Cricetulus griseus: one gene and its partners. The protein of the gene in region 3 interacts with the protein of the main gene of each other region in a biochemical or structural test. Links are inferred from orthologs where the notes say so. Each region holds a gene or a part of one and is shown on either strand. Other genes may lie near its edges.

Region 1 (6,137 bases), on a different chromosome or scaffold from region 3:
CTGAGAGACTCAGCACTAGCATATACATACAATTATACTGGGCCCACATAGCTGAGAGACAATGAATAGGTGTCAGCTAGATTATAAGATTACATGCACAAACATCTGAAAAGATGATGATGAACTTGAGGAATTGCGAGACTTTAGACATTCCTGTGTTACTGAAGGGGAAGAGATGGATCAAAAGGAAGGTGGGGCCCAAGGTGGAAAGGGAATTGTGAATACTAAGGAGTATCAGGTATTCAATGCTGGCATCACTGCAGTGAATGGCATGTAGAAGGTCTTCATCCTTATAAAGCATACATTTGAATGGGGGAGGCATTTCAGTTGTTCGTGACAATTAATCAAAGACTGTAGGTTTATCTCGACATTACTGAAACCATCTTGAGTGGTAACTATTACAATTACACCTGAGTCACCTGGGCCAGCTTTCCAACCATAAAATAGACAAAATCATGAGTGTGTGAAGCCTTATGGCAAGCCTTGGTCTAAGAATAGGCCTGATTCTGATCTGATACTACCTCGAGATAGACCATGTATAGCCTGACTTGGCTGAAATCACTTTTTAGGGGGATGGAAGGTTAGAGATAGAGTCTACTCATATGGTACATGATAGCCTCAAACTTGCACCACCATGCCTAGCTCTGAACTAATTTTTGCCCTATTTCATAACCCACCTGTCTTCTAACCCAAATCTCAAGTTCCTAGGTGGTTTTCTTGATACCCAGGCCCATGCTTCTGTTGTAAGTCACCCATAAACTGCACACTGCAATTCTGGGCTTGCCTGCCTCCCTCTTTGGTTTCATAGGCCTTGGGACCAGTTCCCACACATCGGGACTGGACTATTTTGTGAAGGAGAAGAAGAAGAAGAGGAAGAAGAAGAAGAGGAGGAGGAGGAGGAAGAGGGGGGAGGGGGAGGAGGAGCACATCATATTAAAGCATAAGACTGGAGATACCGGATGTTGGAGAGTGCAATAAACAGATTTTTTTTTTTTTTGCTTTCAGACACTATGTTCTCCTGAGTTCAGTATAAGTAAATAAATAATTGTAAGTGTGGTGATATTTTGTTTGTGATCTAACAAAGCTTGCCTGCAGATCAGAGTGCAGAGCTGGCCACACTAGTTAGCCACAGATGCCAGGCAGTGATGGCACACATCTTTAATCCCAGCACTCAGGAGGCAGAGGCAAGCATAGCTCTGTGAGATCTGGGATACCCCGGGATACATAAGATTGATCCAGTTTAAAAGAGAAAAAAGAGCCAGATGGTGGTGGCTCACACATTTAATCCCAATACTTTAATCCCAGCACTAGGGAGGTAGAGACAGGAGTGGTGTGGCTGGGCAGAGAGAAGCCGGAGGAGACAGGAGTCTGAGGAGGCAGTCAGTCTGAGGACAGGATGGCCCCTTTGGTCTGAACATTGGTAGAGGTAAGAACTCTAGTGGCTGGCTGTTCTGCTTCTCTGACCCTTCAGTTTTTACCCCCTGTCAGCCGAGTCTGAGGCTTTATTAAGAACAATTAGAATTCATGCTCCATGTAAGAATCAAATATAATAAACTAATATTATCCAATCTTCTTGGGATAGTGGAAATTATCTGCACTGTAATCAATGATACATATAGATTTTGAGTAGTTACGATGTGGTTATTGCAAATAAGGAGTTGAATTGTTTTATTTAACTTCATTTGAAATATCCACATAACTTTTTAAGTCGAAGAACTTACTATATAATGAAGGTCTTATTTAAAACTGTCCTGAGAATGGCTTTCCTGTTTTTAAAAAGGTTCTCAGTAGCTCTGGGGTTATTACAAGTCCCCAAAGGAAAACTATTATATACAAAAATCTGATTGGCTCAGCTTAGTTGTCAAACCAACTAGGAGAAACTTGTCGGGCCGGTTCTCTGCTTCCAACATGTGGGCCCCAAGGATTAAAGAAGTCTTGGAGGGGTTCTCTCAGATCTTCTCTTCCTTCCAACTGTGAAAGCGCCAGGCCATTATAAATAGTTTTAAGGTGAATCCTCCTGCAGATGTCTTCCACCAGCCACGCCGCGCTCAGACGGCGCAAAGCACTCCTCCCGTCGCTAGGGGCCGCTGTGGTTGTCCCGGTGGCCGGAAGGCAGCGCGGCTTCCGCGTTTCCACCGCGGATCCGCAGGCCTCCGTGCGCTCTTCCGGCCATTCATACGCCTAGTCGGTGAGTCTTTGGAGCTCGAATTCCGTGTCCAGTAGGACCAGAGGGAGGCTGCGCCGCTAGGATGAAGCTCGTGAGGTGAGGAGGCTCTCCGGGCGGGCCGAAGGCGGCGGGGACAGGGTTTGGGCGGGCTCAGGAAGCCGGGCCTCTGCGCCCTCAGGGAGGCGGGAAAGCCGCGTGCGCGCGGCCTGCTAACGGCCCCCGCGTCCGGGCCCGCCGCGCCCTTCTCGTTGCTGCCGGCGAGGAGCCGGCGCGCCCCGGCCCTGCGCGTCTTCCAAGAATGGGGGAGCCGAGCGGTTTCTGCTCGCCTCGTTTCCTGCGGCTTGAACGGAGCCGAGGCCGCTTTCCCTGGCCAGTCGGGCTGCTTGCACGGACGAGAACTCCAAAGCAGCATGGTTTTATCTGCAAACAACGACGCCGATCTGCTAGACGTTTTAGATAAAGTTCTCCTTTATTTTGGATCGGTTGTATGTAACTGGTTAATGTTGGCTTTCGACTCACGACAGTGTCCCAGGATGGGGCAGAAGTTAAGTTAATTTCGCCTGATTGCAGATTGTGTCGGTTAGTGGAGCTTTGTTTGCTGGTATGAATACTTCCAAACCAAATAGGCATTAGGCAGAGCCCGAAACAGGGTTTAATGCCTAAGCCAGTTAGAAATATTTAGTTTCTTGTTGAGTCAAGGACTGCTTATAGTCACCTGTTAAAAGTAGTGGTACGAGATTTTTCTTTGTGGTTTTTCGAGACAAGGTTTCTCTGTGTAACAGCCCTGGCTGTCCTGCACCTCGCCATGCTGGCCTCGAACTCAGAGGCCTGCCTGAAAAGGATTCAGTCATTATGCTGGCCTGCCCCTGCACTCACACAGTAGTACCCTGGTCAGCCCAGATGCAAAGCATCCCTTTAAAAGAAAGGTCTCTGTCCACTTATGCTCTCTTACCCGCTTTTTTTTTTCCCTCTCTCTCTTTCCTGCTGTTCCCCTGGGGCAGACAGGACTTTTCTTGTCTTTCCTGTCCTCTCTCTGTCTCTGTGTCTCTAACCCCCCTTTTTTTCTAATAATCTTCTCACTTAAGTCCTACTGCCTGGCATGATGTCCTTTCGACTGGGTCATCCTTGCCTGCCATGGAATCCACAAAGGTCCCCCACGAACATTTATCATAACACTGCCTCTGTCTCCGGAGTGTTGGGATTAAAGGCATGACCCATCACCGTCGGGCTACAAGATTTCTTTCTTTTCTGTTTAATGCTGAAGGCAGAACAGGTAACATCTGGTCTGTTTGAAATGACAAACACTCTGTTCAGGGGGAGTTGGAAGAGAAAGCATATAAGGTTAAAAAAAAAATTCCACCTGTTCTGGGGATAGCGCCTAGAGAGCTTCCAATAATCGCTCTACCTTTGACTATAGCTCCAGTTCTTTTGTATTTGGACTGTAACATTAGGTAGAAAGTCTCACAATTTAAAGTATACTCTTGCTGTTTCCCTGCTGCCTGATGTGAACTATCATGTGTTTGCAGTAACTTAGGTTTTTCCCATTTAAAGATTCTGTTACGACAGCTTTGCTTTTGGGTGGTGGTACCTGGGGTGTTACCTCGACTTCCAGCTAGCGTCCTAGGCAAGTGCTCACTCTGTTACTGATATGAACCCAGCCAGGGCTACACAGAGAAACTTCTCAAACAACAACAGCAATGGTAATAATAAGTAAGAGAATTCACAAAATGAAGGATTCACTGAAAAATTGAGACAGGATGTCACCAGGTTGTCTAGAAGTCACTCCATATCCCAGGCTGACTTCAGATTTGGGATCATCCTACTGCAGCCTACTGAATAACTGAGATTACAGATCGGTGCCTACATGTCTTAAGGGAATTTTTTTTAGCAGACTGTTATCTCCTCACCCACTCCCTTGTTTCTGAAAGAATTTCTGCTTCCTGAGTGCTGGATTAAAGATCTTCACCCCCATACTTGGCAATATAATTTTTTTTAAAGATTTTTATTTATTTATTATGTATACAGTCTTCTGCCCGAATGCCAGCAGAGGCACCAGATCTCATTCAAGGTGGTTGTGAGCCACCATGTGGTTGCTGGGAATTGAACTCAGAACCTCTGGAAGAACAGTCAGTGCTCTTAACTGCTGAGCCATCTCTCCAGCCCCCGGCAACATAATTTTTTAAGGTGGGTTCCTTTAAAAGTTGCTGAAACGCTGGACCTGTCTGGTGGTTTTTTATTATTATTATTATTATTATTATTATTATTATTATTATTATTATTATTATTATTATTATGTGCACGGTGTACTCCCAACCGCAGGTCAGAAGAAGGCACCAGATCCCATTATAGATGATTGTGAGCCACCATGTGGTTGCTGGAAATTGAACTCAGAACCTCTGGAAAAGCAACCAGTGCTCTTAACCTCTGAGCCACCTCTCCATCCCCTGAGTGTTTGTTGTAGTCCAGTGTCACCTATAGAAAGGGCCTGCTGCTTTCCTTCATAGTAGAATAGTGGTGAGAATGGAACAGATAATATTACTTGTGCAGTTTGCTGTAGTAGTTTACAAAGGATATTGTAGAAAGATAGACTAGAAAATCTGAATATGAAGTGTTGTTAGATGCTATTGTAGGATTATCTTTCCATGGCCATTTGGCTAAAATAAAGCATGGGTGATGCTGTAGAATTATTTCACTGCATGTAATTGTGGTATTGTGAATTACAGACTAGGAAGTCAGAACATGAGGGGTCTGCTAGGTGCTGCTGTCCAGTTATTGCATGCAATTGTGGTGTTAGGTTTACTTTGGGAGAATGTCCTCACTAATGACAACATCTTACTTTTAGATGGCAAGGTGAAGCTGTAAATACTGAAGAGAAAGAAAGGGAGAAATGGCAACATTTTGATTATCAGTTTTCTTCAATGACAGTATATCGTAATAAAAAAATTATGGCAGAGGTAGAGTAGCTGAAATGAAGGCGACAGATTATTCGTCATGCATTGGCACAACTGGGGACAATTATAAAGGCAGATTTGTTCCTTAGAACAGACAAGAAAGAGGAGAATTCCTGGTGAGCTACATTTCTAAAATATATAAAAGTAAAAGAAGAACACTTTTGCAGTCCTGGTGTGGGAAACATCATCTTAAAACCTGAGTTCCAGAAGGGCCATTACAGAATAAAATGGAAAGAAAAAAGCCAGGGGGCTGGAGAGATGACTCAGGTTATGAGCACTGGTTGCTCTTCCAGGGGATCCAGGTTCAATTCCTAGGACCCACAGCTGTCTGCAGTTGCAGTTCTGGGAATCTCTGATGACCTCTTCTGGCATCTGTAGGTACCAGGAACACATGTTGCACACATACATCAAACAGGCAAAACATTCACACAAAAAATTTAAAAAATTTTGTTTGTTTTTCGAGACAGGGTTTCTCTGTGTGGCCCTGGCTGTCCTAGAGCACTCTTTGTAGTCTGGCCTCAAACTCACAGAAATCCACCTGCCTCTGCCTCCCAAGTTCTGGAACTAAAGGTGTGCACCACCTGGCTTGAATAACATTTTTTTAAGGTAAAGAAAAAAGTCAGGTGTGGTGGCATGCACTTGGAGTTTGTACTCTTGAGTGATGGACTGATAAAAGAAAAACTCAAACTGATGAAAGTGTGTGAATAATGTATAAGCAATAAGGATTTTTCTTTATTCATGAAAGAGACCAAGTCACAGACCAATTGCCACTGCCTCCTCTTCCTCCTCCTCCTCTCTCCTGTCTTATAATTATTATTAAGTTTTACTTTATGTGTATGTACCATATGTTTGTCTGAAGTCTCTGGAGACCAGAAGAAAGCGTTAGATCCCCTGGAACTAGAGTAGTTACAGACTGTTGTGAACTGGCATGTGGGTGCTGGGAAGCTAACTGGGATCCTCTGAAATAAGCAGCCAGTGCTCTTGACTAGCTGCAAAGCCATCTACTTAGCCTCTTTTTT
Region 2 (6,155 bases), about 140 Mb from region 3:
ACATTGACAGGATTTCCTTTTGGGGTCATGAAAATATTCTACAATTAGTGGTGATAACTGTACAACACTGTCATTGGGCTGAATACCACCAGACTGTCCACTTTAATACAGCTAAGTGGTAACTTTATAGTACACATCTTTTGCCACATTTTAAGACTTTAATGTGTCTTAAGTTTCTCATCAGTAAAATAGTAAGCAGGCTGTTGTAAGTTTATTTAGGGAAAAGGAGACACTGGGAACTGTGCCTGAAATACAGTGAGTATTTAGCACCTCCCAGCTGCTACAATTATACCCATCCCATGCTTGATCTACAGACTGTCACTTTCTTCCAGGACAGAACAGTACATCACATGTGTTCACTAAGCATGGTAAAAAGGGGACTGAATTTATTTATTTAATTATAATTACACAGGGGCTGGTGGCTAGTGAATTATTTATCTTCTCATGCAACCCTAAAACCAACCCTAGGGGTATCATCAGCCCACTTTACAGATATAGAAAGGCTAAGTGACTTATTTTTCACTATGGATGAAAAAAATGCAAGTCCAAGGACAATAACCTGGACCTGAAATAATTTTTCTAGTGACATACTGTGTGCTTTTCAGTGCCCCGTGTGGTTCCTCCCAGTGAAATGGGGTGGTTTGGATCCACACAAAGTCTAGAACTTCCTTGAAGCTTCCAAATGGAGGGTCCCATGGGAACAATGGGCAAAGAAGGTAGCTCATTGGCAAAGAGGACTGACTAGCAAGAAAAGGTACCCAAGACTAAGAGACTGTCAGACTGTTTTCTCTCCACCTCTTCCAGCATCCACCCCAGTCTCTGTCTACTTGCCTAGTCGGTCCATGGCCATCTCAGTCTCTGTCTCCTGACCAGAAAGGTCAGCTGCGGCAAAGCTTGCCTGTGGAAGAAGAAATCATTACCAGAAACTCAGGCATCTGGGACATGTCACCACCTTGACGCTCTGAGCCCACCATCCCACCATCCCACAGTGCCCTTCACACTTCGGGGCTTGCACCTGCTGGCTAGAGATAGCGGGGTCGTAGGCATCACCCCAACAACACTTCTCCACCCAGACCACTGAGAATGCCTTCTTGCAGTGGCCAACTGACAGCTGCAGGTTTTGATCTCATCTAGGGCCCTCTTCAGAAGTCTGGGTACCAGGGCCTCTCCATGATCAGAGACCCTAGAGCCAATCTGGACAGCTCCTGGGTCTCAGGGTTTGTAATTCCAGGTCTGTCTATAAACCCTTTCCTCTATCATTTTAACAGCTCTAACCATTCCTTTTTCTTGGCCAGGATTGGTAGCTGTTTCCTGCACCTGCCACTTCTCTGCACACCTTCCCCTTTTCAGTTACTTGGCCTCATATCTAACAGCTCCTTTTTTACATTTTATGTTCACTGGTGTTTGCCTGCATGTATGTCTGTGTGAGGATGCTGGATCCTCTGGAACTGGAGTCAAAAAGACAGCTGTGAGCTACCAGGTGGGTGCTGGGAAGAGCAGCCAGCACTCCCAACCACTGATCCATCTCTCCAGCCCCTAACAATTCCTTTTTAACAGTGTCTCCCAAGTGGTACGTGGGGAACCAGAGTTTTAGTTCCTAAACAGTGAAAGGAACACTTATATCCCCACTGCCAACCAAGTAATTTTATGCCCCATTACTTCAAAAGTCCCCCAGACTTTATTGTCCTCAATATCTCTCTCCAATGGAACCAGTTAATGTCTACAGCTTGAGTCATTAGGCCAGATTTCAACGAGCCCTGTCATGCGCTCAGGGTGTGACCCCTGGAAACTGGAGGTGGTTGTTCTGACCTTGCAGAGGTCCTATGTTGACAGAACAATTATGAAAACACCTAATACAGGCTGGAGATGTAGCTCAGTTGGTAGTGTTTGCTTAGTATGCTCAGTGTCCCAGGCTGATTTTCCAGCACTACATAAGAGCAAGCATGATGTCACATACTCGTAATCTCTGCATTTGGGAAGTGGGGGCAGGAGGATCAGAAGTTCAAGGTCCTTGGTCACAGAGTGAGCTCCTGGGCTACAAGAGACCCTGTCTCCAAAACTACAATTAAAGGCAACAACAATAACAAAACCGCTGGGCGCTGGTGGCGCACGCCTTTTAATCCCAGCACTCAAGAGGCAGAGACAGGCGGATCTCTGTGAGTTCAAGGCCAGCCTGGTCTCCAAAGCGAGTGCCAGGATGGGTTCCAAAGCTACACAGAGAAATCCTGTCTTGAAAAACCAAAAAAATTAAAAAAAAAAAAAAACGGGGAGGGGGCTATGAGAATGAGAAGGGAAGAAGAGGAAGGATGCAGAGGTCATGAGGGAGCAGAAAGGTTGAATCAGGTCAAGAAGAAAGGGTATGTGATAGGTAGGGTTTTAGTTGGGGGCGGTGGTAGGGAAGGGAGGGAGGGAGAAGGGAACTGGGATTGTCATGTAAATCAATCTTGTTTCTAATTCAAACAAAAAATGATTAAAAACAATAACAAAACCACCTGTTAGACTGCAGAAGTAATGTTTCTCTGACTTAAATTCATTTTATTTTTTAAAGTTTTTATGTATTTATATATTTACATCTATTTGCTTGTGTGTGAATGTACGAAGAGGAGGAGGTGTTGGATCCCTTGGAGAGGGAATTGCAGGTGGCTCTGAGCCACCTATGGTGGTTGCTGGGAACCAAACCAAACTCTGTGACACCATCACCATACTAGCTCTCCAATCTTACACAAACTTTTCATCATATACCTGTACTTAGCACACACCTTAGTTAACATTCATTATCCAGTCATGACTGGATTTTTAATGATTCAATTCCACCTCCTGTGGTCAGTGATAACCCGTAGCCACAACTCACTGCTGTCCCCCAAGGTGTTGGAGCAAATGGGTGCAATACAGCCTTTTCCTATGACCCCAGAGCTTGGGCCCTAGAGCAGGCCTTTTACCGGAAGAGGTCTATGTTCAAGCAAGTCGGTGAACGTGAGAGGCAACATTACTCTATTTCTGACCTCCAGGCCTTTGGTGGGGCTCTGCCTTCTCTAACAAAATTAGTGCCCTCCTCTTCTGTAAAACTAATATTCTTTGCGAATCTATTGCTACCGTTGCTGCAAGTACCATCTTGGATGCTCAAGCAAGCATTCCATTCATGCACCCAATTAGCATACACATTGTGTCAGGCACATGGTGTGTCTTCTGGTAAACAGGACGCCTATTTACAGTCAAGCTTGTTGTAGATGGAGATGGTCGCTGCTTAAGGGCAGGTCATAGGAAACCGCTGTATTGCACCCACTTGAAAAAGAAGTTTCTGGAAACCCCGTGTCACCAGGGGCCTTTCCGTTTCATCAAATGGGAAAAAGAACCGGTGACATCTAACGTCCAAGGTCAGCTGCACATCCCCACCAACGGCCGGAGGTCCTCAAGGTTAAAAAAAAAAAAAAAAAAAGTCCTAGCCGGGCGTTGGTGGCACACGCCTCTAATCCCTGCACTCGGGAGGCAGAGGCAGGCGGATCTTTGTGAGTTCGAGGCCAGCCTGGTCTCCAGAGCGAGTGCCAGGATAGACTCCAAAGCTACAGTGAAACCCTGTCTCGGAAAAAAAAAAAAAAGTCCGTTTCCTCGTCGCTCCCATCTGACCCGGCCCCCAGCTCCACCTTCCCTCCATTCCTGCCACAGAGGCTCCCGAGCAGCCCCAGTTTCCCTCTTTCTCCTTCCAGTGCCTGCTACAACCCCAGGTCCCCGCGCGCTCCCGCCGTTACGGCCCGGCTCTGCGCGTGCTCGCGGGGGGGGGCGGCGTTTCCCGAGTGAGCGGCCTTCCCGAAGCGCGCGAGCCCCGCGGCTTCCAGCCCGGGGGATCGCATGGGCCCGCGCTCCCCACCCCGTGGCGCTTACCTCCGCGTTGGGGACCTGCCGCGCACTTGGCTCGCCGGACCCCTGACCGGTGGCCTCCTGAGGGTCCATGCCCCGCCGCCCACAGCTAGGCGACCGGGGACACTCCGGCACGTGACGGCCCACAAGCTGCAGAGGGGCCAATCGGCGCGGAGCAGCCACCGAGGGGGCGGGGCGGCGCAGGGGCAGCGGTGCCGGACGACACGCCCACCTGCATCGTGCCGGGACCACAGGCTCCCGAGCTCATTCTGACATCTCTGGTTTAGAGCCTTATGGCGGCGGACTGGGCACTGTGCCTTCCCCATCGCACTATTAAATGACCAGAGTCCACCCGAAAGCTTAGAAAGCCCAGACGTCGACACGGTCAGAGCCGCTGCTGCTCCATCACTTTTCACTCCACCCCATCGCAGGCTGTTCCAGATTTCAGGCTGCACCAGGACCACAGCATCCAATAATGAGTAAAATAACTCAGCAGCCTGGAGACTTGTCAGCTTGGCATACTGATCGCTTTTGAAGTCAACGTGCTCCCCAGAAACATTCTGGGTTTGTGTTATTGAACTTGGAAGTCACAACCTGTGCCCCAAGTAAGTAATGTGACTACGTTGGATAACTCTCCATTTTCTTCTTCCCACGATTAGTTTGGCTGTTTTTAATGGCTTATTGAGGATGGATACCTGAACCTGACTTGGGGCTCAGATTGTGACCCCCGAGTTCAGTAACAGTTGGGCAGCAGAAATTGACCAAATCTCCATCTTTCAATGGGCAATGTCTCCAATCTGGTTATTTCCCTGTTGCCTCGGAGACAAAAGTCAGCAGCTAGCTGCAGGTAGAGTGTACATGTGTGTATGTATGTTTGGATGGATGCATGGATTTGAATGACCCAGCTGTACAGACAGCTTTTACTGCCACCCTCCCCAGCATGACTTAAACTCTAGCAACAAACTACTTGAAGGCATGGTTATCAGGAAAGCTGGGATTCCTTATGACATTGTTTGGAACACCAGCATCTTCATCTCCCTTAAATAGTATGTTGCCATAAGGCATTAAACATCTTTTTTTGTTTGTTTTGTTTCTCTGTAGCTTTGTAGCCTATCCTGGCACTCGCTCTGGAGACCAGGCTGACCTCGAACTCACAAAGATCCGCATGCCTCTGCCTCCCGAGTGCTGGGATTAAAGGCGTGCACCACCAACGCCCGGCTAAACATCTTTTTTATGCAGATAAAATTGATTCATATTATGTTATTCTTTTTTCTTTACATAGTCTTTACATAGTACGGAGTATGACCAGTTCATGTGTGTTCTGTTCCGTTGTTATTTCTTCAAATCTAACAGACTCCAAGTCAGCACTGCCCAGGGACTCTTCTTCAATGGCAGAAATAAAAGCTCTTGATCTGTGCTGTCACTATGGTAACCACGTGTTTACCTAGCATTTAAAATATCGTCAATATGAAAAGAAACACAATTATTTAATTTCAGATATAAATTGGTAAATGTGGCCATCACAACTAACTACAACTCTATGAATTGATTATGCATATTTTATAATATGCAATGGGGAGAACTGTATATAGCAATACAATAACCCAAGGGTGGCCAGAGGTCACAATAGGGTGTCTCTCTTAGTCACCATTCTATTGCTGTGAAGAGACACCATGGCCAAGGCAACTCTTACAAAAGAAAGCATTTAATTTGCTTACAGTTTCAGAGGTTCAGTCCCTTACCGTCATGGCAGGAAGCAGGGCAACAGGCATAAAAAGCACGGTGCTGGAGAAGCAGTTGAGAGCGGCCTTCTGATCTGCAAGCAGAAAGGTATACTGGGCCTGGCACCAGCTTTTGAAACCTCAAAGCCCACCCCTAGTGACACACCTCCATCAACAAGGCCACACCTCCTAACCTTTCTAATCCTATCAGAGTTCCCCTTCTTAGTGACTAAGCATTCAAATATGTGATCCTAAGGGGAACAACTTATTTAAATCACCTCAGGTCTTGATTGCTCTCCATCTTAAATGTTGAGACAACATCTCTCACTGAACTTGGAGTTCATTGATTAGGCAATTAGGGATCCTCCTGTCTCCATTTCTCCAACGCTCTGTTACAGGGCTTTTCGCCGGTGATCCAAACTTAGGTCCTTATTCTTTTGTGCTAAGCATTTACTTACTGAGCCATCTCCCTAGCTCCCTAGCCCCTAAGATTCTTCAGTGATGTAGAGAAACAACATATTGTTAAGGGAAGCTTTTTTTTTTTTTTTTTGTAAGATTTACTTATTATGTATATAGTGT
Region 3 (6,203 bases):
TGTGCTATGGATCTTACTTAGGGCTTCATGTATACAGGCAAGCCAAGTGCTCTGCCAATTGCCTTACATCATCCCCCCCCCAAATTGTTGATCTTCCTTTTTTTTTTTTTTTAGATTTATAGATTCTCTTTATTTATGTGCATGTATGTGCAGTTACCCATGGAGGCCAGAAGAAGTCATCAAATCCTCGGGAGCCAGAGTAAATATGCAGTTGTGAGCCCATCAATGTGGGTGCTGGTATCTGAACTCTGGTCCTCACAATAGAGCTCTCAACTGAGCCATTGCTCCAGGCCTGAAATTACTGGATTTTTTGTTTGTTTGTTCTGAGACAGGGTTTCTCTGTGTAACAGCCCTAGCTATCCTAGAACTACTAGCTCTGTAGATCATATTGGCCTTGAACCCACAGGTATCTGCCTACCTCTGCTTCTCAAGTTCCTGTATTATTAAAGGCTGGAACTACCACCACCTGGCTGTTTTTGTTTTAAAACAAAACAACCACAGTCTCTCTATGTAGCCCTGACTGTTCTGGAACTTTCTAAACTGAAATTCTTATTTTTGGTTTTTGTTTTCCAAGACAGGGTCACTCTGTGTAGCCTTGGCTGTCCTGGAACTCTGTAAACCAGCCTGGCCGCAAACCCATAGAGATCTGTCTGCCTCTGCCTCCCAAGTGCTGGGATTAAAGGCGTGTACCACCACCACCGATTGGCTATTTGGGGGTTTTGCTTTGTTTTGTGAGATAGAGTCTGTCTACATAATTCTGGCCATCCTCGAACTCACTAAGTAGACCAGGCTAGCCTTGAATTCAAAAAGATCTACTGGACTCTGATTCCCAAGCCCTGGGATGAAAAGTGGTGGGCCACCGCACCCAGCCTGCTGATTCTTACTCTTACGGGGTTCCTCCTATCCCAGGACCCTTGTGCACTTACCTACTGCAATTCTCTTGCTATAATCACACAGAGTCCTGAAGTTATGCCACCTGCCCAGATTCAGAAACAAAACACTGTCAAATGCATATGGCTTATGACTCAAGGAGCTCTTCTACCAGTTCCTCAATATTCCTTACCCCACCCCATACAGGTAAAGCGCCAAGAGGAGACATACCACATCCACGTCTTCTCTTCCCCACTGTACTCCTCTGTGTGTGTAGTTGGGACATTCTCAATGACATCATCTCTCAGGTCCTCTGGAGCCACCAAGGGCACCCTCATCCAGAACTGCATATGAACAGTTACCATTAGTTAGAACACTGTTTTCAACTAATTGGGTCCAGAAAGCTTCCCTCAAAAGATCTTGATCCAGATCTCAAGTTAATCTCTTTATATGCCCTTCTGAATTTGATTACATCCGTGTTTAATATCTTATACACATCCTTATGCAAATACCTCCCTTGTCTTTTATTTTAGCTAGAAACAAGCATTTTCTATGATTTGGCATTGTTTTATAGTGCTAAGACTCTTACCCAGAGGCTCATGTATGTTAGGCAAGTGATTACCACTGAGCTGCACCTCTAAGCCCATAGATTCTGCTTGAAGCTCTCTCCATGCCACTTCAAAATTGGGGGTTGGGTGGGATGGGCAGTACTGACATTTCAATTCGGCCAAAAGCACTGGGGCATAACTAGGCAAAAGTCACTTCACACAGCTGACTATCATGATACTCAGCAGCACAGAAGCCTACCATGGAAGAGTGGTGGCCAGTATGGATGTGGTTGGTCAAAACTCTGGCCAGGTTTGTGTTATCTTCCTGATTCAGGGGCAACAGAAAAGCTGGAAGACCCAGATATGCCCCGAAATTCAGCTCCTGTAACATAGCCTGAAACACATGGAAAGAAAAAGCCATTAAGAACTAGGAACCAAATACTTCCTGGGTAGAGAGGAGTTTAAACTGGATCTGGTATTGTGGCCCAGGCTGTCAGGAATTCCCTATGTAACTCAATTTGGCCTTGAATTGGAGGCAATCCTCCTCACTCAGCCTCCACAGTCCTGGAACCCAGCTTTGTAGACCAGGCTGGCCTCGAACTTAGAGATCCGCCTGCCTCTGCCTCCCAAGTGCTGGGATTAAATGCGGATGCCACTACTGCTCAGTTATTTTTGTCTTTTTGAGACAGGGTCTGTCTACATAGTCCTGACTATCCTAGAACTATGTAGACCAGGCTAGTCTTGAACTCAAACTATTTTTTTTTTTTTTTGTTTTGAAGAGGGCAACAGGATCATATGCTCACTTCAGCAGCACATACATTAAAACTGGAATGAAATAGGGTCTTAGTATGTAGCCCTGACAGGCCGGGAACTCTCTCTCTGTAGACCAAGCTGGCATCCAACTCAGTTCGAGGATGGCCTCTGCTGAGTTACAGATGTGAGTCACCACACCCAGGGTCAGACTCTTAACTGTACTCTGATTTACCAGGTTCTGGGGAGTGGGAGTTACTCTCCTAACCCAATTTGATGACAGAACTAATTTCTTTCCTTTTTTCCCACCCTCCTTTTCTTTTCTGGCTTGGAACTCTCAATCCTCCCTCATTATCTTCCGGTGTGGAATGCCTCCCCAACACTGAGGTTACAGGTAGGGGTGGGTCACAGCACCTAGGTCAGACCTAGGTCAGAGCCAGGCGTTGGTGGCGCAGGCCTTTAATCCCAGCACTTGGGAGGCAGAGGCAGTCGGATCTCTGTGAATTCAAGGCCAGCCTGATCTCCAAAGCGAGTGCCAGGATAGGCTCCAAAGCTACACAGAGAAACCCTGTCTCGAAAAAAAAACCAAAAAAAAAAAAAAAAAAGGACCCCACAGAAAAACCAAACAGCCTTACCGCTTCAGAGTTCCTTCGGATCCTCTCCACTTTGGAGTCTGGACGAATCCACGGAGAAAGCTTTCCCACAATTAGCGTATTCCAGTCTGCACTCCCCCACCCAAGAAAAGACAAAGACTCAATGAGGTCTGGCATTTTCTTGCTCAATTTCTAGTTCTCAGCAGGAAATAGAGTAGAGATGAAAACAAGCCTTTTTCTCTCAGATACAGGGATAGCCTGAAGAATGGGGGAGTTACCTATATCACAGGGGTTAGCCAGTACAACCAAGTCAGAAAAGGAGGGAATTGAAGACCTATAAAGCAGAAGTTATTACTGCCTCTAACAATCAAGGGGCACACGGGATGGTCCCTACCCCTTCCTGACAGCAGTAGGTCTGATCGTGTCTGGGGGCCAGGTCGATTCTTAGCAGGTTCCTGAGTGAACTCCCTCTTGAAACGCGGGTGGAAGACAGGCATGCAGAGGAAATCAAACCTACAACCGCGACAGACTCAGAATTATCATGGAAAGTGAGGACCCAGAGATCAACCAACTGGGTTTAAACTATCTTGATTTTGCACAGTTCTATAAAGCCATCAGTCACCCCCCGGGGCTACTGAGTTCAGCCCATCTTGGGACATTTAACTTTCTCTGCACTGTGCATCAATTTCTTCCCAAAACATAGCCATGAAAGATGACTGAGAAAAGAAGGACATCCAAGGCAAATAGCATTCTTTCTTCCCTGATAACACTGGCTTTCCAGGGCTATCAAATCCAGATTTGTCCCAATACTGCCATGCCTCCCCCAGCCAGATTAACCTCTTCTCTCGTTTGCCCCCTTAAAATACTTCTTTCTCCTCTCAAATAATCTTAGCCTCCAAGGCCCTAGACGGACTGACTCGCGTCCCGCCTTTAATTTACCCAACAACTCCCCTGACTTTTGAACTCGGTGACCACACGCCTCCCAGAGTTTCATCCTCTCGTTCCTGGAACCGAAGTCGTCCCCACTCAAGGAGTAATGGTGTCTCCAGCCCTCATCCCCTGCGGGGAACTAGTCTGCCCTCCTTGGTCCCCAATTTGGATCCCGCATTCCTCACCCCTGCTTGGCCACAGCACCCAGTGTGTCAGCTATTTCGGGGACGCAATTCAGGTCCCTCCCGCTGGACACGCGGCTGCCACCGGCACCTCCGACTGCCATCGCCGCCATCTTTTCCCTCGCGCGGCCCACGCCGGGATTCCTTGCTACTAGGGACCAATCACAACGCCGAGAGCAGTCCCCGGGAGGCGGGACAAGTCGCCTTAACAACCAGAGCGTCTTCGCAGCTCCCGAGCGGAGGCGGAGGGACCGAGCGGCCGCTCCCGCCAATCCACAGGCCGCACCGTGACGTAGGCGTGGCTCCCCGGCTCGACCAATGACAGGCCGTCACTGCTGAGGCTCTGCAATCTCCCAGAATGCCGCATCCGTCTGAAGCACTCCGGAGAAAGACTACAGGTCCCATGCAACCCTGCAGTTAGCCTGAAGTACTATCATTGGGCTACCACAAAATGTCTGCGGGCCAGTGGCGCAATGGATAACGCGTCTGACTACGGATCAGAAGATTCCAGGTTCGACTCCTGGCTGGCTCGTTGGGACTGGTACTCCTTTATTTGCATCCCTTGCTAACCCAGTGTTCCTAAACCCCACTAGTCCTGTAACGTTTTGCTCTTGTCTCACAACCGCTGTACTTCCTTCACTATCTGCTTACGCTGTCATTTCCAGGTCTTAACCTGGTTCGGTATTTCAGCCATCCCATGCTGGCGTGTCTCATTCCTCTTTTCAAAGCTGTTTCTTGTATAATTAAGTGAATCTGAGCATGAAAATTTCGGTGAATGGACTATTAAGATGAGCTTTGTCTCATTACTATGCTTAAAAAATACTACACTTAAAAAATACTCTGTAGTAACTTAGCCACTAATTCCTAGTGATTCTGTCTCAAGCACAGATGTAAAGAAACACCTGCCCGCGCGCGCACCCCTCAGAGAAAAGGAATTCATGAGCGATTACAGTGCCCAGGAGTCATGAAACTGCCTCGCGGAGGGCCGAGAGAACCTACGTTTCCCCCTGTCAACAGCTGGAAAAGAAGGAAATGGCACAGGCAAGGAAGAACCTCGGAAGGGAACGGGAAACACGTACCTGAGGCAAGAAGCCCACAGACGTTGAGGACCCTCCAGGCCAATCTGTGGAGGCATTTTCTCAGCTGAAGTTCCCTCTGCCTTGTGTCAGCTTTGACAAAACAAACAAACAAACAAATAAACAAAAAAGTTAAAAGGCACTGACAGAATTCAGGGACTCGGTAGCAAGGAACCGGGAGGGGGAAATAGTAATGCCACGCAGCAGCGTTTTGCCCTTGAAGTGGGAGAGTTCAGGGAGAATCGGATTTGGGGTTCGGGGTGCAGACTGGCCATCCAGAGAGCGCCGTGTGATAGAGAGCTGCAGGGACAATGATCTGAACCACACGTATTTGGACGTTTCCAGACAGGAGTCTTGACTAGTGAGGTCACCATGGATTATGGAGGACAGTGCTCTTAGCAACACAGGAAGGCGTGGAGAAAATAGGCTCTAAGGAACCCTGGGTAACGTAAGTCCCCCCCACCCCGCACCCCAAGAACAGCCAGGAAACCAGAAAACCAAGAAAATTCACAATGAGGGGTTGAGGATGCTTTTGTACCACCACCACCACCCACCCATCACACCAACAACAGCAACCCATCACACCACCTTCACCACCACCACCACCAACCCATCACACCACCTTCACCAACAACAACAACCCATCACACCACCACCACCATCACACCACCCCACCACCCCCACCAACAACCACCCCACCCCACTCCCACCTTCACCACACCACCATCACCACCACACCCCCCACCCCCACTCCCACCCCCACCTTCACCACCACACCCCCCACCCCCACCTTCACCCCACCCACCCCCACCCCCCACCCCCCACCCCCCCTTTTGCTGCTCCCGGATCTTTGTTTTTGTTTTTTGGGGTTTTTTTTTTTTTTTTTCGAGACAGGGTTTCTCTGTGGCTTTGGAGGCTGTCCTGCCACTCGCTCTGGAGACCAGGCTGGTCTGGAACTCACAGAGATCCGCCTGCCTCTGCCAACCGAGTGCTGGGATTAAAGGCATGCACCACCAACGCCCGGCTTGCTTCTCTGGGATCTTATGCAGGATACCACATCACATTTAGTCGAATGTGTCCTTAGGCTCCAGTTGACTGTGACTATCTCTCAGATGTTCTTTGTTCCTAATGATTGTTACTTCTGATGATGTTAAAATGCCCTTCTGTTGGAACTTGTCTCATGTTTTTCTTTTGATTAAACTGGGAAAGAAAGCAGGGCGCTGGTGACACATGCCTTTAATCCCAGCACTCGGG

What was found. The genes of interacting proteins can lie anywhere in the genome.
Region 1: the proteins of Prmt5 (region 3) and Snrpd1 form a complex in vitro, tested with the Homo sapiens proteins (2 studies listed by BioGRID, with this or other methods). The link is inferred for Cricetulus griseus from reciprocal best matches to the Homo sapiens genes PRMT5 and SNRPD1.
Region 2: the proteins of Prmt5 (region 3) and Coprs form a complex in vitro, tested with the Homo sapiens proteins (3 studies listed by BioGRID, with this or other methods). The link is inferred for Cricetulus griseus from reciprocal best matches to the Homo sapiens genes PRMT5 and COPRS.

The regions. Positions count from the first base shown.
Region 1 is NC_048595.1:225,867,863-225,873,999, reverse strand, and holds the start of Snrpd1 (small nuclear ribonucleoprotein Sm D1), read left to right. Parts: upstream 1-2,106; 5' UTR 2,107-2,249; coding exon 2,250-2,263; intron 2,264-6,137. UniProt on the Homo sapiens protein: Plays a role in pre-mRNA splicing as a core component of the spliceosomal U1, U2, U4 and U5 small nuclear ribonucleoproteins (snRNPs), the building blocks of the spliceosome.
Region 2 is NW_023276807.1:66,984,770-66,990,924, reverse strand, and holds the start of Coprs (coordinator of PRMT5 and differentiation stimulator), read right to left. Parts: upstream 4,032-6,155; 5' UTR 3,949-4,031; coding exon 3,880-3,948; intron 899-3,879; coding exon 832-898; intron 1-831. UniProt on the Homo sapiens protein: Histone-binding protein required for histone H4 methyltransferase activity of PRMT5.
Region 3 is NW_023276807.1:209,732,849-209,739,051, forward strand, and holds the start of Prmt5 (protein arginine N-methyltransferase 5), read right to left. Parts: upstream 4,033-6,203; 5' UTR 3,987-4,032; coding exon 3,877-3,986; intron 3,275-3,876; coding exon 3,156-3,274; intron 2,890-3,155; coding exon 2,804-2,889; intron 1,813-2,803; coding exon 1,678-1,812; intron 1,215-1,677; coding exon 1,102-1,214; intron 977-1,101; coding exon 927-976; intron 1-926. UniProt on the Homo sapiens protein: Arginine methyltransferase that can both catalyze the formation of omega-N monomethylarginine (MMA) and symmetrical dimethylarginine (sDMA), with a preference for the formation of MMA.